Linked DNA regions of Schizosaccharomyces pombe. The protein of the gene in region 1 interacts with the protein of each later gene in a pairwise test. Each region holds a gene or a part of one and is shown in the gene's direction. Other genes may lie near its edges.

The links.
Region 2: the proteins of sec2302 (region 1) and sec24 interact in a two-hybrid assay, tested with the Schizosaccharomyces pombe proteins (one large-scale study listed by BioGRID).
Region 3: the proteins of sec2302 (region 1) and sfb3 interact in a two-hybrid assay, tested with the Schizosaccharomyces pombe proteins (one large-scale study listed by BioGRID).

Annotation. Positions count from the first base shown.
Region 1 is NC_003423.3:3,175,361-3,183,016, forward strand, and holds sec2302 (COPII cargo receptor subunit Sec23b), read left to right. Parts: upstream 1-3,192; 5' UTR 3,193-3,252; coding exon 3,253-3,283; exon of another isoform or gene 3,284-3,332; coding exon 3,333-3,504; exon of another isoform or gene 3,505-3,553; coding exon 3,554-3,585; exon of another isoform or gene 3,586-3,746; coding exon 3,747-5,809; 3' UTR 5,810-5,978; downstream 5,979-7,656. Other genes in the region: hom6 (homoserine dehydrogenase), read left to right, coding at 1,334-1,373, 1,443-2,533; gpc1 (transporter), read left to right, coding at 6,645-6,824, 6,876-7,147, 7,224-7,293, 7,332-7,456, 7,500-7,656.
Region 2 is NC_003424.3:4,796,743-4,804,782, forward strand, and holds sec24 (coincidence detector Sec24/Sfb2 subunit), read left to right. Parts: upstream 1-2,852; 5' UTR 2,853-3,012; coding exon 3,013-5,793; 3' UTR 5,794-5,910; downstream 5,911-8,040. Other genes in the region: RNA polymerase I termination factor Rtf1, read right to left, coding at 525-634, 682-833, 879-1,211, 1,250-1,361, 1,401-1,488, 1,534-1,700, 1,748-2,186; rRNA processing protein Rrp16, read left to right, coding at 6,437-6,573, 6,629-7,751; putative U2 snRNP-associated protein Sap145, read right to left, coding at 7,888-8,040. UniProt on the Schizosaccharomyces pombe protein: Component of the coat protein complex II (COPII) which promotes the formation of transport vesicles from the endoplasmic reticulum (ER).
Region 3 is NC_003423.3:1,185,725-1,194,084, reverse strand, and holds sfb3 (COPII-coated vesicle-associated protein Sfb3), read left to right. Parts: upstream 1-3,263; 5' UTR 3,264-3,272; coding exon 3,273-5,948; 3' UTR 5,949-6,439; downstream 6,440-8,360. Other genes in the region: MCM complex subunit Mcm2, read left to right, coding at 1-209, 429-2,688; SPOM_SPBC4.02C (rRNA methyltransferase), read left to right, coding at 6,761-6,865, 6,923-6,998, 7,239-7,347, 7,445-8,360.

The DNA of each region.
Region 1 (7,656 bases):
TGGGTGTACAACGAGCTTGATGCATAATATGTGCCTACTTTCCTATATTCCTAGTTTCTATAATCACTACTACATTAAAAAAACGTATATAAACCTATAATTAAATTACTTTGGAATTCTTTTCTTATATTAATTGTTGATTTTAAACAACCCTCTAAATCTTGCTGCTCTACAAATTGTCTAGCAAATTGATTCAATTTTCTTTATTAATAAAAGGTGAAGAATAATTTAAATATTTTAAGAGATAGCAACCTACTTCAAGATAATATCGGTTTATTGTTTTGCAAGAAAACTTCATTAGAATTTAAAATGGTATATTCAGAACATTTTAATTTCGCAGTATTTTATCATAATATTTTATTTTCTTCTAAGCTTGATTTAGAAAATAAATAAATAATTTAATGTATGTTATCTGAACTTTTAAATTGAAAAAGCTGCACCTGCTTATGATTTGAGTTTGCTAATCATAATAATATGCATATATAATTAACAAATTATATAGTCAGATTGGTTTCATTACAGTTTTTCATTTTCTTGAACCCTAGACTTTTCTCTTCAAAAATCTCTTTTTTTTTTTTTTTTTTTTTTTTTTTTAATAATAAAAAAGCAAATTTGATGGATGGAATGTGATTTATTTAGACACTTAGCAGCATATAATTTAATTTACGAAGCAAAAAATTAAATATTTTTTTTCACGAGTCGATAAACACTAATAAATCACATAAGTTGATTAAGTGGTTTTTATTAATTGTAAAAGTAAATATATGATTGTATGCCATTGAATCCCATATATGAAATTTAATGCGTTATATTTATAATTTGTGATTAATTTATATAAATCGGCTTCTATACTAGATTTCTAGCTAAGTTTATTTAGCGGAGCTTCAATAAAACAAAATCAAATTAAATAAAATTTGTATCAAACGAAATCAACATCATTATTGCTACAGTAATAGATTTTGCGCTTTTGAGTATTATTACAAATATGTTCTGACTCGATTAATATAATGTCGCTCACATTTTGTTCACAACAAATATACCTGCAAAACTTTGATATCAATCAGAGAGAAAGATCCTTCCTTGGTTGAAAACTCATTTTTGGGTATAAAATAAACTCTTCTAAAAAATGTTTGGTATGACAATATTTAGACATGGAAAAAATTTAAATCTCCCTAAATTATCTACACTTTCTAAAATTTTATTTCCCTACAACAAAATTATCAATTCGTATATCACCTCTTCCAAAGTTTCCTTTGAGAAAACCCTTGTCACTGCTTTTCGTAATCCGACCCAACGTCGTAGCATCTCTACCTCTCCCACCCACTATTTGAAAATGTCAGCTAGCAGAACTAACGTTAACGTTGCTATTGTTGGTAAGCACACAATAAATTGAATGCTTGAATGTTTTGTAAAGCGAAAGCTAATCACTTAAAAATAAATAGGTACAGGAAACATCGGCGGTGAACTCTTAAACCAAATTAAGGGTTTTAATGAAAACGCTTCTACCAATGGCACTACCTCTTTTAACGTTGTTGCCATTTCTAGTATGGAAGGTCACTACGTCTCCAAGGATTATCAGCCCATTAATTTGTCTGAATGGAAGAACCTTACTTCTCAGAACCAAGGTGCTTATTCATTAGATGCTTTGGTAGATTTCCTTGCCAAGTCCCCCCTTCCCGCCATTTTGGTCGATAACACTGCCTCTGAAGCAATCGCTCAATCTTATCCTAAATTTTTGAGCAAGAAAATCAACATTGCTACTCCCAACAAGAAAGCATTCTCTGCTAGTAATGATGTCTATCAAAACATTATCAAGGCTAGCAAGGAGAGCGGTGCTTTATTGATGCACGAGGCTTCTGTTGGTGCTGGTTTGCCAATTATCTCCACATTAAAAGAACTTATCGCTACTGGTGATGAAATCATAAAGATTGAAGGTATCTTTTCTGGCACTCTGTCTTACATCTTCAACGTTTGGTCTCCTAACGGCAAGAAAGGAACTGCCTCATTCTCTGATATCGTCAAAATTGCCAAACAAAATGGCTATACCGAGCCTGACCCTCGTGATGACTTGAATGGCATGGATGTCGCTCGTAAAGTCACCATCTTGTCTCGTATTGCTGGTGTTCATGTCGAGTCAGCTAGCTCATTCCCTGTTAAATCGCTCATTCCTGAACCTTTGAAGAGTGCTGTAAATGCTGAAGAGTTTTTAGCTGGATTACCTAACTTTGATTCAGAATTTGCTAGCATGCGCGAAGAAGCTGAGAAGGAAGGCAAGGTTGTCCGTTTTGTTGGTGAGGCTGACGTTGCTAACAAGACCACTCTTGTCAAACTTGAAAAGTACGACGCTTCTCATCCGTTCGCTAACCTTCAATCGTCTGACAACATTATATCCTTTACCACTAAACGCTACCATACTCGTCCTTTGGTAGTTATTGGTGCCGGTGCTGGAGCTGCTGTGACCGCTGCCGGTGTTCTTGGAGATATGATCAAAATTATGTCTCAGGTTCGCGCGTCAGATGCTCCTTCCGCTTAAATTTATATTTAAAGTTTTGGTTTAGGTTTCTTTAAATAAAGTTTTATCATCTCTTTTTTTACTCATTTCTAGATATCTGGAATGGTTTCCGTTATTATTCTTTGAAATATTTTTGATAAACCAAATAAGAAGAATGTACAAGTATTAGAGCTATGTAAAGGATTTAATTGCTTTAATGATACTACTAGAAGAAAATTTTCAAATATGTATGTTGTAGTAAACTTATAGTATTTTTCAATTTTTTTTCTCAACTACGATGATTCTTTGCATTAGTGCATGTAGTTAATACTTCCGTGACACTCGATTGAAGTGTTATGTCCGAAGGCTTTTCTGAGAGACCAATATATTTGGAGTACAAACAAACGATCGTTTATATCGACAAGAAAATTTGTTTACTCAATAGCCTTCAATAGCGCCTTGAGATAAAAGTACATTATTTTGCTAGTGCATATTGGATTTATATTAAATTTTGAGAAGTTAGTGGTTCAGCTGGTAGAAAATATATCTCTCTACTACTTCGAATACTTATTCATTCATTCGTAAATGCAATTAGTATTCTAGTTAATTTGTTTACTTATTCTCACGCTAAAATTCGTTAAGCCCGTTAATGGGTGCATGTGTACCCTCTTAACCCATTTGCATGTCCACTAATTAATACCAGCATACGTTTTTTTACTTCTTTGGACGAAGTTTGAATGTCCTGTTAACTTAAGGGGAAAATGAATTTTGAGGACATAGAAGATCAAGATGGTATTTCTTTTTTTTATAAGAGGAGAACTTTGCTAACCTTATGGTTTAGGGATACGACTTTCATGGAATACGTTTTCAGCAACACCTGCTGAAAATGCTAGAGCAGTCATTCCAATTGCTGCTATGTACACTCCTTTACATGAAAATGAAAGGATGACAATAGAACAGTATGATCCAGTTGCATGCAGAGCCCCGTGTCGCGCTGTACTAAATCCTTATTGGTACGTGTGTATTCACCTAGGTTTACAATATACTAAATTATTTTATAAGTCATGTCGATCTGCGTGCTAGATTCTGGATATGTAAGTCTTGGTTCAAGCTAAATTTTGAAGCGTATACTTGATGTCTGTTACCAGCTTCGTATTTTAAGTGATGAGTGGTATAAATTTCGAGTATTTAGTTCAAGTTATTACAGCATTTTTAACCCTTAAATATATTCAAATCACTAATATTTGGAACCTAGGTCCGTTTTGTTTTCAGCGAAATCCTCTTCCTGCTCAATATAGCGATATTTCCAGCAACAGTCTTCCGTTGGAATTGCTCAGTCAAAGTACTACCATGGAGTATGTTCTTTCAAAGCCTGTAAAATCTCCTCCTGTGTTTTTATTTGTTATGGACACCGCAGTTGATGAGTCGGAACTCACTGCTCTCAAAGATGCAGTCATAGTTAGTCTTAGTTTGCTCCCTCCAGATGCCATTGTTGGTTTAATTACCTACGGGTCTTTAATCCAGGTTCATGAAATAGGATTTGAAGCTATGCCGAAATCGTATGTCTTTCAACCCGCTGCTGATTACAGCACTATGAAGCTTCAACAACTATTAGCGTTAAGTGGTAATCAAATTCGCTCTTCTTCTTCTAAAGCAAAAATTTCTGGTACAGGCATTACCCTCAATCTTGGTGCAGCCTCTCGCTTTCTTATGCCTGTCCAGAAATGTGAAATGCACTTGCTTAACATTCTTGAACAACTTCAGCCGGATTGTCTCGAAGTACCAGCTGGGCAAAGGCAACTTCGATGTACTGGTGCTGCGGTGAAGATAGCTTCCGATTTACTCGGAATTGCTTTCCCTAAATGTGGCTCGAGAATTGAGTTATTTTGTGGTGGTCCTTGTACGGTTGGCCTGGGTCAAGTTGTTTCAACAGAACTCAAGGAACCAATGCGATCACACTCTGAAATTGCAAATGACAAAGCTAAGCATTTCAAAAAATCTAAAAAGTTCTATTCTTCTTTAGCTGAACGCCTCTCCAACCAAGGGCATGCTCTAGATTTATTTGCTGGTTGCCTTGATCAAGTAGGTATAATGGAAATGGAAAACCTTGTTAACAATACTGGTGGTGCCATTGTGCTATCCGACTCATTTACAACTTCCATTTTTAAGCAGAGCTTTCAAAGATTATTTAGTGTTGATGCTTCCGGTTATCTAAAAATGGGGTTTATGGCGAATTTGGAAGTCTTAACGTCTAAAGGCCTCACTATCTGTGGAATGATTGGAAATGGAGTTGGTGAAAATAAAAAAGGTACTAATATTAGTGATACTCAAATTGGCATAAGCAAAACGAATTCTTGGAAAATGGCAGCGATTTCACCTAAATCTTCATACGCTCTATATTTCGATTTGGGTAAAGAGATGGGGAATCCAAATTCGCAAAGGCCTACTCAAGCTTTCATTCAGTTTTTGACATATTACCAACATTCTTCGGGAACTTATCGACTTCGTGTTACTACCATATCTCGCTCATTTATTACCGGCAATGCAAAAAGTATTTCGGAGTCGTTTGATCAGGAAGCTGCTGCTGCTATAGTCGCTCGCATGGCTTTGTTCAAATGTCAAACCGAGGATGAAATGAGCGTAACTAGATGGATTGATAGAAACCTGATTAGGCTTTGTCAACACTTTGCAGACTATAGAAAAGAAGACCCTTCCAGTTTCCGTTTACTTCCAAACTTTACACTTTATCCACAGTTTATTTTTCACTTGAGGAGAAGTCCATTTTTGCATATCTTTAATAATTCTCCCGATGAAACTTCTTTCTATCGTCATATGTTGAACGTTGCGGATGTCAATGATTCTTTAATTATGATACAACCCACTCTTCAATCCTATAGCTTTAACGAGCCTGAAGGGGTACCTGTATTACTGGATTCTGTTTCCATTAAACCAGATGTGATTTTGCTACTTGACACCTATTTTCATATACTGATTTTCCATGGTTCAACTATTGCTCAATGGAGAAATGCTGGTTACCAAGAGCAACCAGAGTATGTTAATTTGAAGGAGCTTCTTTTAGCTCCGCGTCTTGAAGTTACTGAATTACTGGCTGATCGCTTCCCTATTCCACGATTTATTGTTTGCGATCAGGGAGGTAGTCAAGCGAGATTCCTACTATCAAGAATTAATCCTTCTGTTTCTTTTAACAAGTCCTCTCAATTTTCACCAATGTCAAAGGATTCTGAAACGGTTTTAACGGACGACGTAAACCTGCAAAAGTTTATGGACCATCTTCGTAAAATGGCTGTCATATCTTAAATTGTCTATATTGAAGATGAGTCTATACAACTATCATTACACATTTGCATCTTTGTAATAGCGGAGCTATCAACTATGGCTTTGTAATGTCGATGCAACCTAAATACATCAACTATTAGTATATATTCCATCTTTAGAAGAAAATGTTCAAGCATTTGTTAACACCATATTTTGATATTATTCATACAGATAATGGTGTAAAATCTTTTAAAAAAGGAGACCGCTTTTTTTATTTTCTGTATTTATAATGTAGTTTTTTTAGAAAGGCATAAACTACTCAATTTGTTCTCGGAATGTAATGCATTTAATGTTTCGTGCAAAGTAACCTACCCCAATTTAGGTATTGAAAATTCGCATTCTTGGTACGTATTCGCAGGGAATTTATGATTAATTTGGGAGTAAATTATGGTAATGGTAGTATTAAGTTAAGCAACAAACGTGTAAAATTAGTTAATGGGCAAGAGCCTATGTTTGTTTTATAAAAGAGAGGTTTTTTTAAATATAACATACTTTTATTGTTCGGTGGTTATTGGAATAAACGTGTTCCGTTCAATTGAAAATATGCATCATAGTCATAACTACTTGTAACACGTATTGTATACCATATTCCGATAATCAGCAACTTTCTCAACACAATTCTTTTCCTATTGCAAAAGCTAGAATATTAAAGCATAGTAAATTGAACAATATTTAATAGGAATATTAACATTGGTATTTCTTCAATCGGTTGATTACAAACTAGATCACGCTTCCATTTTTTGGTTCCTTACTTTATTTTTGGATATACGGTTGCGTTGATTTGTTGCTTCGCCAATTACTTTTTTGATAAAGGAAAATGGATCATTTAGAATTTGATGAAAATACTGATTCAGAATATTCGATCTTTGAGGAAGACAATGACTATGGACTTCATGGATTAGATGATTCTGTTGGTTTTACAGATTTATTTGACGCACCAAACATTTATCGGGTCTATTCTTGGCTACACAAGCATTATAATCAAAAGAAAGGACAGGTATGTCCATACATAACATTACCACCTTTTGTATTTTATTAATGTCTGTAGTTGAAACATGGAGTATCACGTCAAAAAAATAAATTGCAGCCTATTCATAAACAAATTAACTATGAAACCGACAAGTTAAAAGAAAGACTAGGGAAATCGATCGACAAGTTTCAAGAACAATGGAATTCCGGAAAAGTTGTTCGTTTTCGCGATAAATTATCCTTCGCGTTAGGTGTTAGCACTTGCATTTTAACTGCCTTGCTGGTTGGTATGGCTCCTGAATCAATGCACCTATGGTATACTATACAGCTTTTCGTTTATTTACCTTTGAGGTAAGTAGCTTATAATTTCTAATGGATATGAGCGTGGCTCGTATTCTCGTATGCCATCATTTTTAACTTAAATAAGGTATTATACGTATCAACGAAAAGGATACGAATACTTCATAGCTGATTTTTGTTATTGGGGGAATATTCTGGTAAGTTTATTTCAGCAGTGTGAAGAAACTAATGTCAGCTTCTTGTTTACATTTGGATATTTCCGGAGAGTCGGCGATTATTTATTCTGTCATACTCAATAAGCTATGGTACCTTGGCATGGTCTGTGGTTGCTTGGAGAAACAGTTTATTGTTTCATTCAATGTACGTACCTAAGAAGAAGTTTGAATGCCTGACTAATGTTCAGTGATAAAATTACAAGTCTCTTCATTCATTTTTTCCCGCCCTTGGTTCTTCATACAATTGTGCACCTAACAAATAAGTCTTATTTAAAAGATCGCTTTCCTGCTGTTTTAAAAGTTAAAAAGATCGATTTGCTTTCATCTGTGGAGATTGCTTCTTTT
Region 2 (8,040 bases), on another chromosome or scaffold:
TATGTCTCTCTGTGTACTATTAATTTAATTCAAAAAATTCAGAAATGACCTGTCAAAATAGCCTCTTATGAATGCGGTTAATGTATGAGTTATTGACTGATAAAAAAACTAGATGCAGGCACCCTTGCTAAATTAATCAATGATGATGATGATTATTTTATTTTATAGCTTGACATTCGTTCTTTTTTTTAACCTTTTATTAATAATGGGTTAAATTATAACATCATATCGACTGGGGATGTAGTTTAGGGGTATAACGTTTCATTCGCATAGTTCGCACCTTGAAAAGGTCCCGGGTTCGATTCCCGGCATCTCCAATGTTAGAAACTATTTTTCCTTTTTATCCACATTTGTTTTATTTATTGACTACACGGCAAACAGGTTACATACACAAATGTATACTAGAAAAAATATAAAAGTGAATTTACTAATATAAGTAAGATGAGAACATTCTCTCAATGAATACACAAAAAATTTAAATCTATGACTTTGAGGAAGTAGTTAAAATAAATTTGTTCATGTAGCTAGCATAAATCATCGGCGTTAGAAAAAGCGGTGTAAGAATCATGTAAGTTCGAAATGTAAGTTTCTTCAGGAGAAGAATTTAGCATTTTGTGCAAATGAATTAAAGTATCTAAAGCGTTAACATATTAACAATAATTATTATATTCAAAAATTTACCAGAAAACGTAGAAAGTCCATCGATAAACAAGGTTTTTTTTATTCTTTCGAAATGCGATTTACAAGCATCTGCTGTCCATAGGTGATTAGCATATTCTGATAAGCATTTCCAATCAATCATCCGTTCCTCTGCAACATTAAGGTCCATCATTCTGAATTTAATTAGCTTCTTATTTAAAATTTTATAATTGGAGTACCTTTCAATTAACCATATACTATCGCCAAGTTTGAAAGGGGAACTATTATGTATATCTCTGGAAATTAGTGTGTAATACTTCCACCTACAATGATGACGGTGTCGATTTCTCATGTTTTTAGAAATTAGACTCCATTGAATAGGGGATGAAGGATTGCTTTGCAAGTATTGATTAACCGTTTTGATTAATTTTTCTTTCTCCTGGATAGTCCATGGTGAACGATTGATTTCACCAGGTTGAATGTAGTCGCGCCAATGATCTCTGCAATGCATTGGTAGTCTATTCGACAATTTGCCAATTAAGCTCCAGGATGTTCCATGTTTTTCAACAAGTCTATTAGTTAGTTGCAATTTGGAAAGTAAACTACATACTTTTTCAATTCTGCCTCATCTTCTATAGTCCATTTACATTTTTTCTTAAATGGATTATATTTTCTGCGGAGATAATTGTAAATACTCTTTTTATCCCTATCGATAAGCTCATCTATTATTAATTAGTAACAAGTGATAGTAATTGACTTACACAAACAATTATATAATGTTTTCATTTCATCACGATGGTTATCAGACCAAACATATTGAAGAAATTGTTCATCAGACCAATTTTTTTTCTGTTTTTTAATATTTATAATAAAACAGCAAGCTAAAGACCATACCTTTTTAAACATAGCAATTTCTTTTTCCAAAGTGATAATGTCGTTTGCTCCCCATGATCCAGACGACGCTTTTTTAACGTATTGAAACCTTTCATAACCTGGAATGTTAAAATATCCCTTAAGATGCCTATACACAGTCCTTCGTGAAACATTGGGCACTTGAATTTCTAGACTTGAATTAGCGGATTTTTTTGAAAGCACTCAGGTGTCATACGAAATTGAATGAGTAAATTATTGAAAGGTTTTGGAAGTCTTTTGGTTTTAATAAGAAGATCTCTCGCAGCCACAAAGTTTAATTCGCTTTCTTTCAAAAATTCATCAATTAGTTGACTTAACAGAACCCAAAAAGTGGGTGTCCAGTTGGTGTAATCTCTACTGAATACAAAGTCTTTATATGAAGTAGTGCCTGTTTTTTTGAAGCCTCGACATGTTTCATGGTCTTTCGCACTTCCAGCAATTGCTGTTTTCACATTTTCAGGTGATACCATAGTCTCATCATAATTGTATTCATGAAAGCTTATGGGGTTTCCCAAGTAAATGAAAGAACTTGTATTTTTCGAGTCACCAATGGGTGATAAGAGTTGATCATCGACAAAGAGCTCTTCATTGTCCTCTGTATCCGGTCTGCAACTTAAATTGTTTTTTCCTTGCATAATAATGTTCACTTGTCTGAAGAAATATTAAGAAAAAAACATTGACAAAAGGTAATCAGTATAGCAAGGGACCCGGGGTGTAATAGTTCATGTAAGACAAAACCAAATAGCGCAGGCAACTTCAATTATTCAATCTATAATTGAACTTTTGATACTTTGCAATTCTGAATTCTAATTAACTAGTGAGCCTGTTAAAATTGGGTAACATTATAGAGCGTTGGTGTAGCTAAATAGTGTACGATACATGCAGTGATGGTTTTTGAGAGCATTTTTAAAAAAATTTCAAAATTTCTTAAGATGTGACTCTCTTGTTTATGATATATACATGTAAAATTTTTAAAATAGAAAATTAAGTATGAGTGGTTTAGAAGAGTTTTTTTAGTTGAAAACGTTTACAGGTATCTGCCTCATATCAAACTTAAAAAAAAAAAAGAATAAATTAAAACGATAAAATATCTCTATTGGCTTTTGTTTACTAATAATCACTATTTTTTATCAATTAGGTACAAAGTTCCTGCCTATGTTAAAATTATTAGGGTAATAACGTGTGTCACCGATATAATTACTACGATACATAGTATTTAATAACGAAACTGTAAAGCTCGTTAACTTTCCAGTGATTACCTTAACTTTCCATCTACGTTAGTTGAACCAGCGAATGTAGCTGCCATTTACCTACTCCAGGGAACACTGTTAAAAACGTCTTTTTGTGAAAAGGAAGGAAAAATAGAGGGATCTTCAAAAAAGTTATTAAATAATTCAGTGTTTCTTTTCTTTTTTTTGCTAGCAATATACCACTGTAAGTAAAAAAAAATACACTAAAGCAATGAGTCAGGAGGACGCTTTCTACGGAAAGGGTAGTTATGGAGCTAGTAGTGGAAATTCGAATATACCTCCTCAAGGATTTCAGCCAGTTTATCCAGTTGCTGGCCAGCTAGATAATACCGCTCCTTATGTCGGGGCAGTTGCTGAGGGTACAGCTGAAGGCATTGTAAGCAATGGTGAATACGCTGTTGGAGCTATGGGTGCTGCTCCTACCAACATAATAGGATCTGTCGATCAACAACCACCCGTTTCTCATACCTCTCATAAGTCTCGTAGACAGTATCCTGCTGAGGTGTTTGAACTTACAAATACCTTAGCAGCGTCACCGGCTCCCCCTTCTCTTTCAGAGCCCTCTTACGTTATGGCACGAACTCCATCCTCTTCACCATATCCTCATGATCGCGCAGAGGTGGGAACTAAATCTCTCTCTGCACAATTTGGCGGAATGTCACTTGGAGCAGATGGTGCAGCAGCTATGCCTACCAATGAGTTAGTTTCTGTTGATTTGTACAATCAAACACCAGAAATTTCTGACTTAACCTCTCCTCCTCCTCCTATTAATTTACCCTTAAGCTATTCCGCTACTGGAGCAGCTACTTCCAATTGCCCTCCCAAATATGTTCGATCCACGATAAACTGTGTACCGACAACAAATAGCTTGTTAAAAAAGTCAAAAATTCCATTTGCATTAGTCATCCGTCCATATACTAGCTTGGTCGAAGAAGATGATCCAGTTCCAGTTGTTACTGATACTATTATATCACGATGCCGCAGGTGTCGTATGTATATCAATCCTTTTAGTATCTTTATTGACAATGGCCATCGCTATCGCTGTAATTCTTGTGGTATTGTTAATGAAGTACCCCAGTCATATGACTGGGACAGTTTCAGAAATGTCCAACGTGATCGCTGGCAACGTCCTGAGCTCAATTATGCAGTTGTTGATTTTATTGCTCCTCAAGAATATATGGTTCGTGCTCCACAACCTTTGGTTTACGTATTTTTAATTGATATTTCGTTTGTATCCATATCTTCTGGTATGGTTGGTACTGCAAGTCGTGCAATTCTGGAATCATTGGATCGCATCCCCAATAAAGAAGGACGTGCAAAGGTGGCTTTTATTGGTGTAGACAGTGCCCTGCATTTTTTTTCAGTTTCCCCTGGTGCTGAAGAAGCCACCCAACTAGTTGTTTCTGATTTAGAGGAACCGTTTTTACCCAGGAATCAAGATTTGTTACTTAATTTACGCGAATGTAGACAAGGCATTGAAAACTTACTCGAGCGATTTCAATCAATGTTTGCAACTACCCGTGATTCTAGTAATGCCCTTGGACCAGGTCTTAAGGCTGCCCATCGTCTCATTGAAAATATTGGCGGTAAAATTTGCTGTCTCATTTCGAGTCTTCCTAATGTTGGTGTTGGTAAATTGGAGTTACGTGAAGATCCTAAACTTTTGGGAACAAATCGTGAATCTAGCCTTCTTCATCCCAATGACTCCTTCTATAAATCCTTCGCGGTGGAATGCTCCACGTCTCAAGTCTCTGTTGATATGTTTCTTTTTTCTTCTCAGTATCAAGATGTAGCAACCTTAAGTTGCCTTCCTAGATACACCTCTGGTAAAACCCAATTCTATCACAGGTGGAATGCTTCCCGTAGCGAGGACGCTCTTAAATTTGCTTCTGAACTTACTAACTATCTCAGTATGGAGATTGAGCTAGAGGCGGTGATGCGTGTTCGTGGATCTAACGGTCTCCGTATGTCTTCTTTCTACGGAAACTTTTTTAATCGTTCAAGTGATCTATGTGCGTTTCCTTCTTTTCCTCGCGATCAGAGTTATGTAGTAGAGGTTGTTATTGAGGACACTATCACCAAGCCCTTTGTTTCTTTCCAAACAGCTATGCTCCATACTACTTGTAACGGTGAAAGACGGATTCGTGTACTGACTATTTCTCTTCCTACTACCAATAGTATGACTGATTTATATGCATCAGCCGATCAAGTTGCCATTGCACAATATCTTACTGTCCGGGCTAGTGAAAAGGCTCTTTCTTCTACGTTGAACGAAGCCCGTGATAGCATTATAAGTAAGCTTGTAGAAATTTTGGAAGTTTACAAAAAAAATTTGGCTGGACAAAACACCGGTGCTGCGATCCCGCTTCAAATAAGCACCAATTTAAGACTATTACCATTGCTTTGTTTAGCATTGACGAAGCATACTGGATTCAGAAGATCTAGTCATATCTCATCTGACCTTCGTTCTATTGCTCTATGTTATTTAAGTACTCTGCCAACTCCTTTACTAATGCGTTACATTTATCCAACTCTTTATTCTTTGCACGATATGCCTATTGAAGCAGGAACTGTTACAGAACAGGGTGTAGTTCTCCCTTCTGCGTTAAATCTTACTTCAGCTTTGTTGCAATCTTTTGGTTTATATTTGGTTGATACACACATTCATCAATTTTTGTATATTGGTAAAGATGCAGTTCCGCAGCTACTGATAGACGCATTTGGTGTAAACTCTCTTGCGGATTTGAAAGCTGGACGTTTTACAATGCCAGTTATAGACAACCCACTTAACGTTCGTATCAATGCGATTCTCGGTAAACTTCGTTCGTTGGATAAAGGTTCAACTATTATGCCTAGTCTTTACCTTGTACGTGGTGATGGTGATCCACAATTGCGCTCATGGTTTTTCTCTCACTTCGTCGAGGATCGTAGTGAGAACTCTCCCAGCTATTTACAGTTTTTGCAGACTCTTAAAGAGAAAGTTCGTGACTAAAGGCTGTAAAATCTGGCTACTTTCTACAAAACTTTTTTAAATTGATTGTTCTGATGGTAATATATGCCTGAATTAGTGACATGATTAATTAATAATATTCAATATGGTTAAACATTCTTTGGTTTTTTGTATTTTTAAGAAAAAAAAAATTTAAATAATTGATCTAGTAAATATACTTGGTGCTTTTTATATTGATGAAAGCTATATATGTATCAAACTAAATTAGGTATTTGCGTACATGTAGCTTCCAGCCAGCTTGTACATAAATTTTAGCTTTTATACCTTGTCTATTTTCATATTACTTGATGTTGAAGTTGTTCCAAGAATAACAAAAGGTTCTAATAATTTAATTTAATTCATTACAATTGAGTTGCAGTGTATAGATTTTCAATTTCGCACTTTAGAGCTTCACATCTTCTATTTAAAGCATAAAAAAAATATTAAATATTTATTAAATTTCATTTTCATTGCAATTAGATTATATATCCAGGCGAGTATTCACTTATATTGAAAAACTAATTTAAGAATGTAATTTTGCACTGCGGTACTAGGTGCTTGGCAAGTGGTAGAATTTTGCCTTCTGCCAAGCACTCCTAATTGTAGTAATTAGATTAGAGAGTCGAAATCCTATTATTTTAAAAAGATGGGAATCAAAGAGAGGAATGCACCTTCTCAATATAAACAATCATCTCGTAAAAACAAACGAGCATGGAGGAAAAATATTGATTTGGAGGATATCGAGTCTGGTCTAGAGCAGACTAGAGATGAGGAAATAAAAGGGTATATTAGTTTTTGCATTGTATTAATTAAAAATATTTTTATTAACTTAAAACAGTGGAAATGTCGAGCACAAGCCGAATGATGCTTTATTTGTAATTGACACTCTTGGTGATGATAGAATTGCAAAAAGAAGCAGAAAAAAAATTAAACCATTAAAGGTTGATCAAATTCTTGAAAATAAGTCTTCCATAGAAAAAGTTCATTCTCATTTAACGAATAATTCAACTGAAAGCAATAAGAAAGGAAAAATTTTTTCTAGAAAAGAACTAAATAGACTACAAGCTTTGGTGTATAAAAATAAAGATGGTTTAACCGCAACTTCTGCTGCTAGTGAGCTCAAAAATACCAAACAACCAAAGGAAAGTTATGATGTTTGGGAAACAAACCCAACAGTTACTATACCTGTTAAAAGACCTTCTACATTATCTAAACTACCCGAATCTTTAACTGAGAATAATGCAAAAGTCCCAAATGTTGTTATCGCTGATCCAGGAATGTCATACAATCCTGACGCTGCAGCTTGGATGAAGCTACTTGATACCAAAGGTTCAGAGGAACTTAAGAAAGAACAGAAAAGAATTAGTGAATTAGAGGAAAAGGAAAGAATACAGAAGAAAGCTTTTGAAGACAAGGGATTAGTTTCAGACCAAGACGTTAATCACAGCATTGATTCTGATGACCAGTCTGAACACGAACAAGCAGAAACTCCGATCCCTTCTTCGAAGAACAAACGAAAAACCAGGTCTCAAAGAAATAAGATACGCCAAAGAAGAGAGGAGGAGCTTAGATTACTTGAGCAAAAGAAAAATGAAGAGCTTCTGAGGACGATCGACAAAGCTCCTGCAATATCCAAAAAACTGCAGCAAAAGGATAAAGCTGAGAAATTCTCTAATAAGGCTGTTTCTTCTAGCACAACTGAAATCAAACTGAAGAAGAAAAAATTCGGTAAACATCGATTGCCTAACAACCCACTTGAAATAAAGTTGGGAGATGAGCTGACTAGTTCCCTTAGAGAGCTGAAGCCTGAAGGAAATTTGTTTGCCGATCGCTATTTAAGTTTACAACAAAGAGCAATGGTTCCTCCATCTTTGCCAGTATTGAAGAAATCAAAGTATCGTGCAAAGATCAAGGAAAAATATAGTCACAAAGACTTCCATCTTCAAAAAAACAGTATATAAAATATATTTTAGCTAGGGTATAAATTGGGGTTTTTTTTATTTTCACTTACAAATAATAATTAATACTTGAATAATGTATGGAGCTTAACAATAATACTGTCATATAGATTAACTAATGTACACTGTAGATAATAATTTAAAGACGAAACTTGTCTCTCTTGCTTTGTGTTTTCTGTCGTTTCGCAGCACCAACCTTCATAGCCTGCTCAGACACCAACTCCGAAAGCTCATCTTGCCAATTAGAACTTTGATTTAACGCAACATCTCCTTTGTTGGTTGATGAGAGCAT
Region 3 (8,360 bases), 2.0 Mb from region 1:
CGCCGCGATTCTGAAAGTTTACCTTTTGAATCAGAAAATTCTTCTCTCGGTGCTACACCTCTTTCTTTACCTCCTTCTTCACCTCCTCCAGAATTCTCTGATGAAGCTGCAGAAGCTCTCGTGGAGGAGGATATTGAGGATCTGGACGGAGAAGCTTTAGATGTAGAGGATGAAGAAGGTGAAGATTTGTTCGGAGAAGGAATGGAACGGTAAGTTTTATAGCTATGCTTGAGACGTGTCTTGTCAATGTTGTGTATACTAAGTGTTGCCATCAATATATAAATTACATACTATTTCTTCTCCTTCTTGTAAATAAATATATTTATTGGATTCCTAGGTTGCGGTTATATTGACAGAACAAATCTTGATTTTCAAAAGAGTAGTTTCACATTTCGCGTCAAATAAGGTACTTTTTTCTAACTGTATAGTGATTATCAACAAAATTTGGAGCTAGATCGTTATGACATTGAAGAACTAGATGACGATAACGATCTTGAAGAATTAGATATCGGGGCCCGAAGAGCTGTTGATGCCAGGTTGAGACGACGTGATATTGAGCTCGATGCTGCTGCAGGTAGAACAAAACCTGCTGCATTTTTACAAGATGAAGATGATGATTTGGACTCCAATCTTGGCACAGGCTTCACTCGTCATCGACATCGAATTTACGACGAATATTCACCTAATGTTGGCGCATTGGACGAATCTGGTGAACTTCCTCTTGAATCAATTGCCGACGTAAAGGCCGATAGTATTGCCGAATGGGTTACTCTTGATCCTGTTCGGCGTACAATTGCTCGAGAATTCAAAAATTTCCTTCTTGAATATACAGATGAAAATGGCACCTCTGTATACGGTAACCGTATTCGCACATTGGGTGAGGTTAATGCTGAGTCGTTGATGGTTAATTATGCCCATCTTGGTGAATCTAAACCCATTTTGGCTTATTTCTTGGCCAATGCGCCTGCACCTATTTTTCGCATATTTGATCGTGTTGCTTTGGAAGCCACTCTTTTGCATTATCCAGACTATGAAAGAATACACTCTGATATTCATGTTCGTATCACTAATCTTCCTACTTGTTTTACTTTACGCGATCTACGACAATCCCATCTTAATTGCCTTGTACGGGTATCTGGTGTCGTAACTAGGCGCACTGGGCTTTTTCCACAATTAAAATACATTCGGTTTACATGTACCAAATGTGGTGCTACTTTGGGTCCATTTTTTCAAGACTCTAGCGTTGAAGTAAAAATTTCTTTCTGTCACAACTGTTCCAGCCGTGGTCCGTTTGTAATCAACTCTGAACGGACTGTATATAATAACTATCAAAGGATCACTTTACAAGAATCACCTGGCACCGTCCCCTCAGGTAGACTGCCTCGACACCGTGAAGTTATTCTTTTAGCGGACTTGGTTGATGTTGCCAAACCAGGCGAAGAGATTGATGTTACTGGCATATACCGCAATAACTTCGATGCTAGTCTGAATACCAAAAACGGGTTTCCTGTCTTCGCTACAATTATAGAAGCAAATCACATATCGCAACTTGACGGCAGTGGTAATACTGATGATGATTTCTCTTTAAGTCGGCTTACTGATGATGAGGAAAGGGAAATTCGGGCATTAGCAAAGTCGCCTGATATTCACAACAGAATTATTGCATCGATGGCGCCTTCTATTTATGGACATCGCTCTATCAAAACTGCTATTGCTGCTGCTTTATTCGGTGGTGTCCCCAAAAATATTAACGGTAAGCATAAAATTAGAGGTGATATCAATGTTTTATTGTTGGGAGATCCAGGAACCGCCAAATCTCAATTTCTTAAGTATGTTGAAAAAACGGCACATAGGGCTGTCTTCGCCACAGGTCAGGGTGCCAGTGCTGTTGGTCTAACTGCATCCGTCCGTAAAGACCCCATTACGAATGAATGGACTTTGGAAGGGGGTGCTTTGGTTTTAGCAGATAAAGGTGTTTGTTTGATTGACGAGTTCGATAAAATGAATGATCAGGATCGTACTTCTATTCACGAAGCCATGGAACAACAAAGTATTTCTATTTCTAAGGCGGGTATTGTGACTACCTTGCAGGCGAGGTGCACTATTATTGCTGCCGCTAATCCCATCGGTGGACGTTATAACACTACAATTCCTTTTAATCAAAATGTTGAGCTGACCGAACCTATTTTATCTCGTTTTGACATCCTTCAGGTCGTCAAAGACACGGTTAATCCTGAAATTGATGAACAGCTAGCTAATTTTGTTGTATCAAGTCATATTCGATCTCATCCTGCATTTGATCCGAATATGGATGTCTTGAAGAAAGTCCCTACTGAGACTGGTATTGATGCCAAACCCATTCCCCAAGATCTTCTTCGTAAATATATCCATTTCGCTCGTGAAAAAGTTTTTCCTCGATTACAGCAAATGGATGAAGAAAAGATTTCGAGACTTTATAGCGATATGAGACGCGAGTCACTGGCTACTGGAAGTTATCCTATTACTGTGCGTCATCTGGAGTCTGCTATCCGTTTAAGTGAAGCATTTGCAAAAATGCAGCTCAGTGAGTTTGTGCGCCCTTCACATATAGACAAAGCCATTCAAGTGATTATTGATTCCTTTGTGAATGCCCAAAAAATGAGTGTTAAACGAAGTTTGTCAAGAACATTTGCTAAATATCTTATTTAATTTTTTGACACAATCAGTTTATGGAGTCCAGTGATTTTGATTTCCCCGTTCTTTGACCCTCCTTTTGTTACTGCATCTGTTGCATATATCTATCCTTTAATAATTTGCAATCAAAATTTGCTTTACATTTTTATACCTATCTTTACATTCATTCTTTCTTAGTTTTCAAAATGTCAATCTAAATTATTTAGGTTAATAACACTTGTTTTGAATATCATTATTGACTATTCGCTATAGATACTAGGTGTATAGATACTTTCTCCGCTGTATCAATATTATTAGCTGTTTCATTAAAGAGCCACTGCCCATGTGAAATGACATTTTTTGAAACAGCTGAGGTTTTTTACATATAGAGCTAAATTGTCCATTTCCAAATTTAAAGGGAAGTCAACTTTTGACAATCGGAAATGCATCCAGTTCATATCTGATGTTCCTGAAGAATCTCAAATTTCACACTTTATTATCTAAAATTATTTATATCGTGTTACTCTTTCAAATCAGTCTTTTTATTTGGTATATATTTTGCCCTACCCTTACCTACTTATATTCGTACATCCACCAAGTAAACTTGACACAAAAACAAAATGGCCTATCCCGGGCAGTTTGGAAATTACGGTAATCCTGAGACTTATAGGCAAAATGTTGCTGGCAATATTGCTTCATATGGGGGCCCTGAAATTGACACTCAGTTAGCTGCTCAAATGAACGCACAAATGTATATACAGCAAGGTAGTGCAATGGCTCCACAACCCCGACGCGCTAGAAGACATAAAGATGCCCATGCATATGATATGTCATTGACAGATGCTGAACCAGCTTTGGCTCCTGTCATGTCGCCTGCTATCCCGCCTTCCATGAATTATCCTACGCCAAGTACACCCTCAGTACTTCCAGAATCTTTTTCTAATGATACAAATCTCCTCGATCCTGCAGCATTACCTTCGGCTCCTGAAGTTCGCTATGAAGATCAGCAATTGTTTAAAAACCAAATATTCAATACCATGGAAAAGGGTTCTCCACCTATGTCCACTACAGATTTTGTTGGGTATGAACAAGGAAATTCATCTTCCAAATTCGTTCAGTTTACCAGTTACGCGATTCCAGCTACCAATGATGTTTGCAATGCTTCCGGAATCCCCTTGGGAATGATTGTTCAACCGTTCGCAGAGTTACGTCCTGATGAAGCACCCGTACCCGTTGTAGATAACACAAATTCAAATCCCCCACGTTGCAAAAAATGTCGTGGCTACATCAATCCTTTTATCCAATTCACGATGGCAAGTAGTAAATGGACTTGCAATCTTTGCGGTTCAGAAAATAGTTTTAATGATGATGGTTTTAATCCTTTAGTCGGTAGTCAGCATGATGGAGTGGAGTCTCGTCCAGAATTAAATGTTGGCACTATTGATTTTAAAGTGGGGAAGGACTATTGGATAAAGGAGGATCCGCCAAAGCCGGCTCGCTTTGTTTTTATGATTGATGTTTCCTATGAAGCTTCCTCCAAAGGACTTCCCAAGGTTGCAGCTGAAGCTATTCGGAATATTCTCTACGGACCGGTACCTCTTGATCCTAATGTCAAAATTGCTATTGTCTGCTTTGATCGAAGCGTTAATTTCTTCAATTTATCTCCTAATTTAGAGCAACCCCATATGTTAGCTGCTTCTGATTTAGAGAATCCCTTTGTTCCATTTTCTTCCGGTCTTTTTGTTGATCCCATTGCTTCAAAAGTTGTCATTGAGAGATTGCTGGACAGTTTCCCTGCAATTTTTCAAGATGTTAAAATTCCCGAACCAGTCGTTGGCAATGCACTGGAAGTAGTAAAACTCCTTCTTAAGGAAACAGGTGGAAAAGCTTTTGTTTTTGTTAGTGCTCTTCCTACGATGGGATTGGGGAAATTAAGGCATCGTGAAGATCAAAGATTATATGGGACTTCTGATGAAAAGAATCTTTGGAACACCCAAGACAAGTGGTATACATCTCTTGCCGATGAATATGTTACTGCTGGTATAGGTGTTGATATTTTCTTTACTGCTACTGCTTATGTTGATGTTGCTACTGTTGGAAGTGTTGCGACCTTAAGTGGTGGGCAGATTTACCACTATAGTAATTTTGTTGCTGATCGTGATGGATCTCGACTTAAACAAGATTTATTTAGAAGTGTTACCAGAGAGCAAGGCTATCGAGTGATGTTGAAGACACGATGCTCAAATGGTCTGCGTGTCTCCAAATATTTAGGCAACTTCTTGCAACGAACTCCACAAGATATCGAATTTGGCAGTCTTGATGCTGATAAAAGTGTAACAGTTCTGTTTTCCTATGATGGAAAATTAAATGGAGCTTTGGACGCTCACTTTCAAACTGCGGTTTTATATACCACTCCTTCTGGTGAGAGAAGAGTAAGGGTTGTTAACTATTGCTGTGCTGTCACTTCTAAAAGCTACGATACGATTTCTCTTGCCATTGTTGAACCTATCGTTGCAGTTTTAGCTAAAATTGCATCGACAAATATTGCAGCGGGTTCTTTAAAAGATACATCGGTTAGGTTAGTGGAGGGTGTCGTGAAAATCTTATCTAGTTATCGGAAGGTTGCTGCTAATCGTTTGACTCCAGGCCAACTGGTTCTTCCAAAGAACTTGGTGTTATTACCTATTTTGATTCTTGCAGTTTTGAAATCATCTGCTATCCGAAGTGGAAGCATTCATAGTGATATTCGTGTTTCACAGCTCAGAGAGGTGAGAGCAGCTCCTATTCAAGAGTTGATGCTAAATCTTTATCCAAACATTTATGCACTACATCAATTACAGCCCACTGATTGTCTTCCTGACCCTGAAAATACGGGTTGTCTACCTATCAATATGCCACTTTGCGTTCGAGCATCTCGAAAATTCATTGAGGATGGTGGTGCTTTTTTAATCGTCACTGGCCAAAAGTCTTACTTATGGTTTCATCAAAGAACCTCTCCTCTTTTACTTCAAGATCTATTAGGTGTTGAGAGTCTTGAGGATATTGATTCTCTGAAAGCGCTTGAGCTTCCGACATTGGACACAGTTCTTTCTGTACAAGTTCGCAATCTCCTTTCTTCTCTTAGAATGCAATTTCCCAGCATGGCTCTTCACCCACAAATCGTACGCCAGGGTTTAGATGGTAGTGAAGGTGAAATATTCTCAACATTAGTAGAGGATAACACTCGCGAAGGATTTGGATACCTAGACTTTTTAACGAAAATTCACGAATCTCTGCATACTCAAGGCTACAAATAAAAACAGCTCAAATCTTCTTGCAGTTCGATACAAAAGTAAAGAATCTCTTTGTGGATATGTTTTGGGTTTGGTTGGTATAGTGTTGCACCGAATTTAATGCCGAGAAAAAGGAATCATTTTTGAGCCCCTTTCATTCAAAATTAAGCATATTCTGTTAGAATAAAGCATATCTTCGCTGTCGTTCCTATATTAACTAAAGTTTACTTGGACAGCACTATATTTCAGAATGGAATATTGCATGCAATAACTTGTTGAGCATTCATTTCTTTGTCAATAGTATAGAGCATTTATAAAGTTGAGTTTATGGTTAGTTCCTTTTAGAGCGTATCAACTTTTCAAAAAAAAAAAAAACGCTCTTCACATAATTTTTTCGTATGTACTTCTTCATTTGTTTATGGTTATCCCTATTTTCTCTATTCTTTCTTTTACAATGCGAAGTCCATTGTTTACCTTTGTTTTCGCTTTCAGTTACCAAAGTTCTCGGCTTGAAGAAACTTATGTTTAATAATATACGATTACTATGGGATGAAATAAAATTAACACTAAATGTTTGCATTATTAAGACTTTTATTGATTGATTCGACAGTACTTCGTTTTGTATGTTGGCATTAGTATATCGGGACGGTTAGCAATAGCGTCGGGTTCGGTAAAATGTGCAGTATATGGGCTAGTACGGGATTTTGTAGTTTCACCTTTCAAATGCTGGCTTAGTTAATTTTGAGATAAAAAAAAAAGCAATTTTTGGCGAAACTTTTATCTTATTATTTAAGAACTTAATTTTCGACGTTTAAACTGGATCGGCCTTTAGTTTAATGAGTTTGAACGTTGACATTGGGCTTGGAACCTATGACTTTTCAAAATGGGGATATATAGACGTTCATAAAATCAAAGAGGTTCACATTTATGATTTCGATAATGTAAGGCTCAATCCCTGGAAAGATAGAATGAGCGTAAAAACTAACAGCCTTTTGCAGACCTTGTTCCAAACTCCATTGCCAAATGCAAACATATGGAGCAATCAAGCGATTCGGATTTTGATGGCATTTAATAGTATGTTAATGGTTAGTCTTAACAAGTCCAGATGGAAAAAAACGACGTGTTTACCTTTGGCATAGTGGTTGTCTGTTCACCATAGTGTGGATTTTTTCATGTACCATGCGTCTGAGATGCAATTATTTATGTCCTCACTTTTATACTTCAGTAAACTCTTTCACTGTTTGCTTTCTTCCTTACTGACTTCATTGATGAGACTTGCTTACAATGATCATTTACTAACCTTTTTTTTTTAAGTTTTGGCTAATGGCGGATGGTTTTTTGATCCACACGTTTTAGCTGCTACCGGTGACGGTGTCGAGGTCGAGGAGAAGAGAGCCTGGGAAGGCTGGTGGAATGAAAAAATGTAAGTATTGGAATTCGGGTTTCGTACTGTCGACTTTGGCATTGAAAAGATGGAATCAGAACATATATCATGTGTCTATAGTTATTAATGTGTATAGTGTTTCACAAGCCAGAGAATCGATACGTCGACCTGATGTTTTAGCGGTATTACTTACTGGCCGCAACGAAGGGTTTCGAGGAATCGTGGAAAAAATCATTGCAAGCAAGGGTTTAGATTTCCAAGGGGTTGTGTTTAAACTTCAAGCTCCTGACGGTTTTTGGCCCCAAACACTCAACTTTAAGCTTTGGTTTTTTAATGAAGTTTACCGTCATTTCCTATATATTAACTCCACGAGGATATATGAAGATCGACCCTCCCATATAGAAGCATTTTCTGCCTGGTTGACAGAACGAAAAAAAAAGAATAAAAATGCAGATTTTGAAATTATTGCTGTCGCCGAACCTCCCAAGTATTTGAAGTTCAAAGTTGAGATTGCTCTTGTACGTGGAATGCTCACTGCCCACAATTTGAAAGCCCCATCTTTGAAATTACCCTTATACAAGTTTGTGAAGAATGTGATAGCAACTGTTGTTACGGTACCTGTCGCAGAGCTTCACCATATTCGCAATGCTTTTTTTAACATACCAATTGCTGAAATAATGGAAAGTGTTAGCGCTAATTCTTCACGTAGGAATTCACACGATTCTAATTCAACAATTATATGTGAACCCGAATATCCTCCAGATACGTCTTTTAATAGTAGCCCTGGCCGCTTGTGGATTGTTACGGCGATTGGAAGATATCGTGACGAGTACTGGACGGTGCGTGCTGAGGCTGCAGAAGGATATGACTGTGAAAAAATACACGAAATTGATGTCGCCGATATCCCTTCTCTTTATGGCACTATATTATACGTGTCCATGTCAACTGGTATTGTAAAATCGGAGATTGGAGATATTGGAGCTCAGCAGTGGAAGACATTAGCACCTTCCGAGCGATGGATTCTTCGTACAAATATCAGAAAAGAATGTACA